Callithrix jacchus: one gene and its partner. The protein of the gene in region 2 interacts with the protein of the main gene of each other region in a pairwise test. Links are inferred from orthologs where the notes say so. Each region holds a gene or a part of one and is shown on either strand. Other genes may lie near its edges.

The links. The genes of interacting proteins can lie anywhere in the genome.
Region 1: the proteins of FLII (region 2) and LRRFIP1 interact in binary tests that used the Homo sapiens proteins (3 or more experiments, as listed by UniProt). The link is inferred for Callithrix jacchus from reciprocal best matches to the Homo sapiens genes FLII and LRRFIP1.

What each region holds. Positions count from the first base shown.
Region 1 is NC_133507.1:158,928,547-158,932,709, forward strand, and holds the start of LRRFIP1 (leucine-rich repeat flightless-interacting protein 1), read left to right. Parts: upstream 1-1,302; 5' UTR 1,303-1,366; coding exon 1,367-1,462; intron 1,463-4,163. Other genes in the region: RAB17 (ras-related protein Rab-17), read right to left, coding at 879-1,133.
Region 2 is NC_133506.1:82,680,938-82,684,577, reverse strand, and holds part of FLII (protein flightless-1 homolog), read left to right. Parts: intron 1-143; coding exon 144-291; intron 292-471; coding exon 472-608; intron 609-780; coding exon 781-993; intron 994-1,223; coding exon 1,224-1,403; intron 1,404-3,404; coding exon 3,405-3,487; intron 3,488-3,612; coding exon 3,613-3,640. UniProt on the Homo sapiens protein: Is a regulator of actin polymerization, required for proper myofibril organization and regulation of the length of sarcomeric thin filaments. It also plays a role in the assembly of cardiomyocyte cell adhesion complexes.

The sequences.
Region 1 (4,163 bases), on a different chromosome or scaffold from region 2:
ATGTCACTGAACTCACTGTCTTTTCCCTGCAGTAAAACCTCCAACCGCTTTCCCTGTCACCGGGGTGGGGGGCCCCTTCCTCTTCCCACTTCCATCCAGCTTCCAGGTTACCTCCCTAAGAAGCCAAAGGCAATTTGGTCACATTAGTTGGTTGGAAATACTCCAAAATGTTAACCATCCTTATCACTGGAGGAAAAAAATGACAGGTGACTTCAGTACAGCACCCTCTCCTCTTCCATCAGTACCCTCCCTCCCATCCTTCCCCAGGTCCAGCCACTGGAAGTTCCCCCCAGCCCCCAAACACAGCAGTCACTTTCCCACCCGGTACTCCTGCAGGGGCTTTTAACCCTTACCTAAACCTCTGGTTTGATTTACTTTTAAATCCACCTCTAGAAGGTGGACTGAGCTTTGGAGAGCACAGGTTAAGTTCATTACTTTCTCAACAACTAGGAGAGAGCTGCGATGCACCTGCCGGCATCCTAGAGGCTGGAGACCCAAGAAAGAAGTGACAAGTCCCTGATCTCAGGGGGCAGACATCGGGGAGAAGGAGGGATGCCAGCATGGAAACACGCGTGTAAAGACAGAAACGCGCACATCCACACGATGTTCCCAGAGCCTGTGAAGCCAGCGCCAGGAGGCTGGGCAAGGTCACAGGAACCCGCAGTAGCTGCGGGTCCGAGCACACCTCGGCCTGCCCAGAGCCCAGCTCCCACTCCAGCGACCGACTTCGACTCCGCCTCACCGCGGAATGGGGGCGCCAGGCTGAACAGTATCCTGTGCCCACCCCTCCGTGCAAATCCCTCAAGGCAACCCAGCCCTCCGCGCAGGTCCCCAGCAGACCGCTGCCCACCGCCCTGGGCGCGCCGCTCCGCGATTACCTGCCAGCCAAACAGTCCCCACGGAGGTGCGCACTCTAGGGCTCCCGGTGCCTCAGGTCCCGCGTGCCCGGCTCTGGGCATCCTCATTGTCCCCGGGGCATCGGACCCCCATTGTCCCTGACCCCTGGCGTCTCCGTCCCCCGCTCGCTTCCCCCGCTCCAGCGTCTCCAGCCCCTGCAGTCCTCGGCCCCAGCTGTGGACCTCCGGCCCCGGCGTTCCCCAGATCCACGCGCCCTCAATGTCTCGGACGCCCATCGTCCCTGATCCCTGGCGTCTCCGCCCCCCGCCGCCGCCCCCCGCCGTCCCTGGCCCCCGCTGCGGACCTCCGGCCCTGGCTTCCCCTGGGTCCCCGCGGCCCCCGTCCCCCGCGTCCCCGCGGTCCTGGCCCCGCGCCCGCTGACGCCATGACGCCGCGGCGGAGGGAGGGGCCGGGGCGGTGCGAGCGGCGGGAGCAACGGGCCCCGCGGCAGCTGCGGGCGACGCGGTCGATGGACATGGGCACCCAGGGCTCGGGGCGCAAGCGGCTCCCCAATCGGGAGCGGCTCACGGCGGAGGACGACGCGCTCAACCAGATAGCGCGGGAGGTGAGCGCGCCGGGCTGGCAGCTGGGGGCGCGGGGCGGGCGCGGGGCCGGGCGGCTGTCAGGGTCCCTCCGGGCGTCTGTCCCGCTGCGCGTCCTTCCGGCTGAGCGTCTGGCCCCAGGCGGGCTGGCCCGGCAGGCGCGCGCAGGGGCGCGGAATCCCTGGCGCTGCACCCCGGCCGGGATCTCGGCGGCCTGCGGACCCGGCACTCGTCCTCCAGCCCCGGGCCCGGCCCGCAACGCTGCGCGCCCTCCCCCACCCCGGCCACCGGCGGCCGCTGCGCCCTCGGGAGAGGAGCCGGCGCCGCCAGCGCGCGAGGTGGCCCGGGCTGGCCGGGCGGGGGCGGGGGCGAGCGCCCCGCTTTGTTGTGCCGCATGGGAGGGGGCAGGGGCTTAGGCCCGACCTGGAGGCAGGGACGGTCCCCGAAGGCCACATGGCCATGCCGAAATGGCCGAGTCGCTCCGGTGACCATTTGTCGTGGATCCATCGATGTCACTCAAGGTGCAGCTCAGAGATGAACTTCGGGGTCACAGTGAATTGTTTCAGGACTGAGCCCGGAAACGGGTCCAGGCCACGGAAAGGTCTTCATTAAAGTTTCCTGGGCAGAGTTGATTGTAACTAAGATCGTGTTTGGTGATGAACTTTACCTGTGACAAATTGAAGGCGCACCAGAGTGTGTATTTGTACAATGCCTTTTTTATTTCCCTCAAGGGTTCTACCTTAAGGCTAAAGAATGTATGTGACATCCAGAAAGCCGTCCAGGGACAGAGAGCTGCAGCTTGGGAAAAGGGACCCCAATAGGTTGGGGACCCAGGGGGACAAAGGAAGCTTAATTTTTGACAGTGTTCCCTTTGTATCATTTGAACTGCGTGCCAGGTGGATGTATGAAAGCAAAGAAAGTCTCTGTATTGCAACCTGCCTCGCAGGTTCTCTTCCGTGTTGGGTTTGATGGCGGGCTATTCCACATGTGATTCTTTCCACAGGAAACACTTCTGAGCCATTTGGGCTGTTTGCCTCAGTCAGATATTCTGGGAGGGTCTACTCTGTAACCAGTCCTTAGGTGTTTGCAGTTGTAAATACCTGATTTTGCTCTTATGGACATGTGGCAGTCACTCAGTATTTGTTGAATATTGAGTGAATCAAGACTTCTGTTTTTCTCTGTATAAGATAGAAAAAAGCTTTCCAGGCAAAGCTTTATTCATTCCTGAAAGCCCACTGTGACCTCCAGGAGACCTCCAAACTCAGCCTTCTCACATCACACCAGGACTAAGTCTCCCTGGCTCCACAGCACTCCACCAGCTCTTGCTGCCCACACCCGGCGTGGCAGTCAGATGTCTTATTATTTGTTCACCTGTAGAAGGTGACATCCAGACAGGCAGTATCTTTTGTATCCCAAGAGCGCAGGGCAGAGCCAGACACATACTGGGTGTTCCTCAACGTCTGTTACGTTAATTAATAAACAAAAGAAGTACAAGGCATTTAAAGGACCTTTGGCTAAATATAGACATTTGCTAAATATAGTAGCTTGAGCAGAACTCCCTCCTGTGAAGACTGTCATTTATGTATGCATTTGACCACAGTGCCTAACAAGTGTTTCTTGCGAGGGCCAGAGGTGACCAGTGAATTGCAAGCCTTGTCTTGCTGTCTGTGGTTGTGGGGCAGAAGAATGAGAGGAATGAGAGTTCCCAAAGTTTGTCTTTTAACCACTGATGGTTTCGTTGTTTTGTTTTGTTTTGTTGACACAGTCTCACTCTGCCACCCAGGCTGGAGTGCAATGGAACAATCTCGGCTCACTGCAACCTCCACCTCCTGTGTTCAAGCAATTCTCCTCCCTCAGCCTCCCCAGTAGCTGGAATTACAGGTTCACACCACCACGCCTGGCTAATTTTTGTATTTTTGGTAGAGGCAGGGTTTCACCACATTGGCTGGGCTGGTCTTGAACTCCTGGCCTCAAGTGATCTGCCTGCCTCAGCCTCCCAAAGTGCTAGGATTACAGGCGTGAGCCACCGTGCCCGACGTATCCGCTGGTTTTCATAAAATAGATTGAAAGGAAAGGCGAGGGAACACTCCTTGGGTTGAGAGCCCCGGGGTCCTGCCTCCTGCCCCTGGAGATCATGTTGAAGTTACAGAGAGAGACTTGTGGGTCAGAGCTGGGCTTTGAAACGACATAGTTCTTTGCCAGCTGTGCCATCCTAGGAAGGTGAGTTACTCAATCTCCTCTGAGCCTCTGTTTTCTTACCGCTAAAACAGGGAAGAAGAAATTTCTCCTGGCTATCAGGATTAAAGACAGTGGGTAGCAACCTAAAGTATGTCACTAGGCAGTCGGTAAATGTGAGAGCTCCTTACACACCCCTCCCTGGAAAACCCAGCCATCGGCGCAGCTGTCACAAGGACTGAGTAGCACAGATTGATAAGGGTTGGAGGGAGCAGGTGTGACATGTTTTAGTACAAATTAAATTCTGTCTCCCAACTGTGAAAATGAAAATCACTATTCAAATGGCAAATACCTATGCCTGGAATTCACTGGGGTTCTCATGGGAATCCACAACACTGTCGGAGGTTCAGTACTTTCTTCCTCACTGGCTGACTCAACAGATACAGGTCATGGCATCCAAGTTCCTGCCCTGGGGAGACTGAAGAGTCAGGGAGGAACCCGACAAGGACCTGCCTTCCAGGAGTTGAGTCAGAAAGGGCTCGACACCTG
Region 2 (3,640 bases):
CCAGCCTCAGAGGTGGGTGGGACAAGAACCTGGTCCCTGGCCTCTCAGCCCTGGTGGCTGCAGACAAGAGCAGGAAACTGGATTGGTGTGTCTGGGAGGTGGGGCGCAGGCTCAGTGCCAGCTCTGTTTATCCTACGGGGCAGGTCCTGGACGTGCGGGAGAACCCCAACCTGGTCATGCCACCCAAGCCCGCGGACCGTACCACTGAGTGGTACAACATCGACTTCTCGCTGCAGAACCAGCTGCGGCTGGCAGGTGCCTCTCCTGCTACAGTGGCTGCGGCTGCAGCTGGTGAGTGAGGAAAGGTCTCGCCTGGGAGCCGGGGTTCCTCTCAGACCTCAAATTATGTATCTGTAAATTGGGTGGGATACAGCTTTCTGGACCCTGGGGGATGGAGTTGGCCCCTGGTTGGTTGCAGGCGAAGGGGGCGGCAGGCCCAGAGAGGGCTCAGCTGTTTGCCCTTCCCCTAAGCAGGGAGTGGGCCCAAGGACCCTCTGGCTCGCAAGATGCGGCTGCGGAGGCGCAAGGACTCAGCCCAGGATGACCAGGCCAAGCAGGTGCTGAAGGGCATGTCAGATGTTGCCCAGGAGAAGAACAAAAAGCAGGAGGTAAGCCAGGCCTTGGCTTCTACTCAAGGCTGACCCTGGCCTTGATCCTGGCCAAGAGGGATGGGGGACGCTGGCAGCGAGATTAGCTGTGCAGAGGCCCTGTGGGCAGCAAGTAAAGACCGGCCTGAGTGGCTTCACAGAGTCACGCCATGCTCTGTGACTCTGCCCCCAGGAGAGCACAGATGCTCAGGCCCCTGGCGGGAAGGTGCGGCGCTGGGACCAGAGCCTGGAGAAGCCGCGCCTTGACTACTCGGAGTTCTTCACGGAGGACGTGGGCCAGCTGCCCGGCTTGACCATCTGGCAGATCGAGAATTTTGTGCCTGTGCTGGTGGAGGAAGCCTTCCATGGCAAGTTCTACGAGGCTGACTGCTACATCGTGCTTAAGGTGAGGGCTGGCCATGTTGTTAGGGGCCTCCTCTAAGATGGCTGAGTCCCCAACTCCAGAGTTTTGTTCAGGGAGGCCAGGTGGGAGGTGGGTAGGCCGATGGAGGTGGTCCAGGCACAGGGTAGTACAACACCGCTGGGGCTGGGAAGCCCGTGCTGTTCAGAGTGGCCTCTCTGGGGTGGCCAGAAAGCCAGGATGAAGGCTGACATGACCGATGCATTGGCTCCCAGACCTTTCTGGATGACAGCGGCTCCCTCAACTGGGAGATCTACTACTGGATTGGTGGGGAGGCCACGCTCGACAAGAAAGCTTGCTCTGCCATCCATGCCGTCAACTTGCGCAACTACCTGGGTGCCGAGTGCCGCACTGTCCGGGAGGAGATGGGCGACGAGAGCGAGGAGTTCCTGCAGGTGCCAGCCCCTTCTAGAACTGGGGGCGGGCAGAGTGGGGGACCCAGGGAACTCTGGTGCAGGGGCAGTGGGCCCAAGGCAGGTAGGAGGAACAGGTAGGCAGGCAGGGAGCTGAGGCCAAAGGGGGCTGGATCACAATACTGTGATCCAGATCCTGATCTGTGTTACAGACCTAAAGCAGATGGCAGCGTAAGGTCTAGGGGTGGCCAAAGCCTGGGTCAGTGGAGAAGAGTTCAGGAACACAGGGCAGAATTCAGCCCGGCAAGGATGAGGGTGCAGGCTTTGCATGGGAGCAAGACCAAATGACAAGGGAGCTAAGAGCAGAGGGAACTGAGAGCAGGGTGGAAGGGGTGTTGCCAAGAGCAGTGAGGAGGTGGGGCCAAAACCTGTTACTAGGGGGCGGGGACGTACCTGGGTAACAAGATGGCAGGGCCAAGCGCAGGACTAGAGTCCAGTCTTGAATAAATTTTGAGCCCTGTTAGCCACCAGCTGGTTACACCTAGACATATGTTTGCATGTACACACACATGGAGTTCATGTGCACACACACCCCCACCCTGAGTTTTTACCCATATTCACCCAGATTTCCACTCTTCCACGAACCCACTTGCTTGTGTACTCCAAACATGCTGCAGGCATCTTTACACGCGTGGGTGAACATACCCATATTTTCATACATCCCAACACCCCAATGTGTATATGTTTATAGGCACAGATCTGTTTTTTTGTTTTGTTTTGTTAGACGGATTCTCACTCTTGTCGCCCTGGCTGGAGTGCAGTGACACAATCTTGGCTCACTGCAACCTCCGCCTCCAGGGTTCAAGCAATTCTCCTACCTCAGGCTCCTGAGTAGCTGGGATTACAGGCATGCACCACCACACCTAGCTAAATTTTGTATTTTTTTTTTAGTAGAGATGGGCTTTTGCCATGTTGACCAGGCTGGTCTCAAACTCCTGAGCTTAGGTGATCTGCTCTCCTGGCCTCACAAAGTGCTGGGACTACAGGCGTGAGCCACCGTGCCCAGTGCCCAGCCAGATCTGTTTTTTGTTTTTGTGTTTTTTTTTTTTTTTGAGATGGAGTTTCGCTGCTGTTACCCAGGCTGGAGTGCAATGGCGCGATCTCGGCTCACCGCAACCTCCACCTCCTGGGTTCAGGCAATTCTCCTGTCTCGGCCTCCTGAGTAGCTGGGATTACAGGCACACGGCACCATGCCCAGCTAATTTTTTGTATTTTTAGTAGAGATGAGGTTTCACCATGTTGACCAGGATGGTCTCGATCTCTTGACCTTGTGATCCACCCGCCTCGGCCTCCCAAAGTGCTAGGATTATAGGCGTGAGCCACCGCGCCCAGCCATTTTTGTGTTTTTTAATAGAGTTTGCTCTTGTTGCCAAGGCTGGAATGCAATGGCACAATCTTGGCTCACCACAACCTCCGCCTCTCGAGTTGAAGAGATTCTCCTGCCTCAGACTCCCAAGTAGCTGGTATTACAGGCATGTGCCACCATGCTTGGCTAATTTTGTATTTTTAGTAAAGATGGGGTTTCTCCATGTTGGTCAGGCTGGTCTCAAACTCCCGACCTCAGGTGATCTGAGCAGCACCACCAAGGCCAGGTACAAGGACACTGTAGGGTCTTTTGTGTGAAGGAAAGGGGTGTGAGCCTCACTGATGACTCTGCATCATGCTCTCAGGCTCTTTGCAGAGAAAATTAACAAGAATGAGCAGAAAGGGAAGGCTGAGATCACACTGCTGGTGCAGGGCAAGGAGTTCCTGGGGTTTTCTGGGAGGTACTGGGTAGGGAGTCCTCTGAGCTCTGCCTTGGCCTCCCAGAGTGCTGAGATTACAGGCGTGAGCCACGGCGCCTGGCCAGATCTGCTTTTTTAAAACATCATAGATTTGTAGCACTCAATTCACCTGTATGCAACTCTGTACCACACCTGATGGGCGGTGTGGTTGGTGGGGGAGGGACAGCTCAGTGATGAAGAACCACACCCTCACACACAGGTGTTTGACAATGACATCTCCTACATTGAGGGTGGAACAGCCAGTGGCTTCTACACTGTGGAAGACACACACTACATCACCAGGTGAGACGTGTAGGCAGTGGGGAGCATGGAGCTGGAGTTGGCTGGAAAGGGGTGGAGAGGAGGGTATTAGGGATAAATTGGGCCATTGGTGCCCACACACCGAGCCACTCTTGCCCTGTGCCCAGGCTGTATCGTGTGTATGGGAAAAAGAAC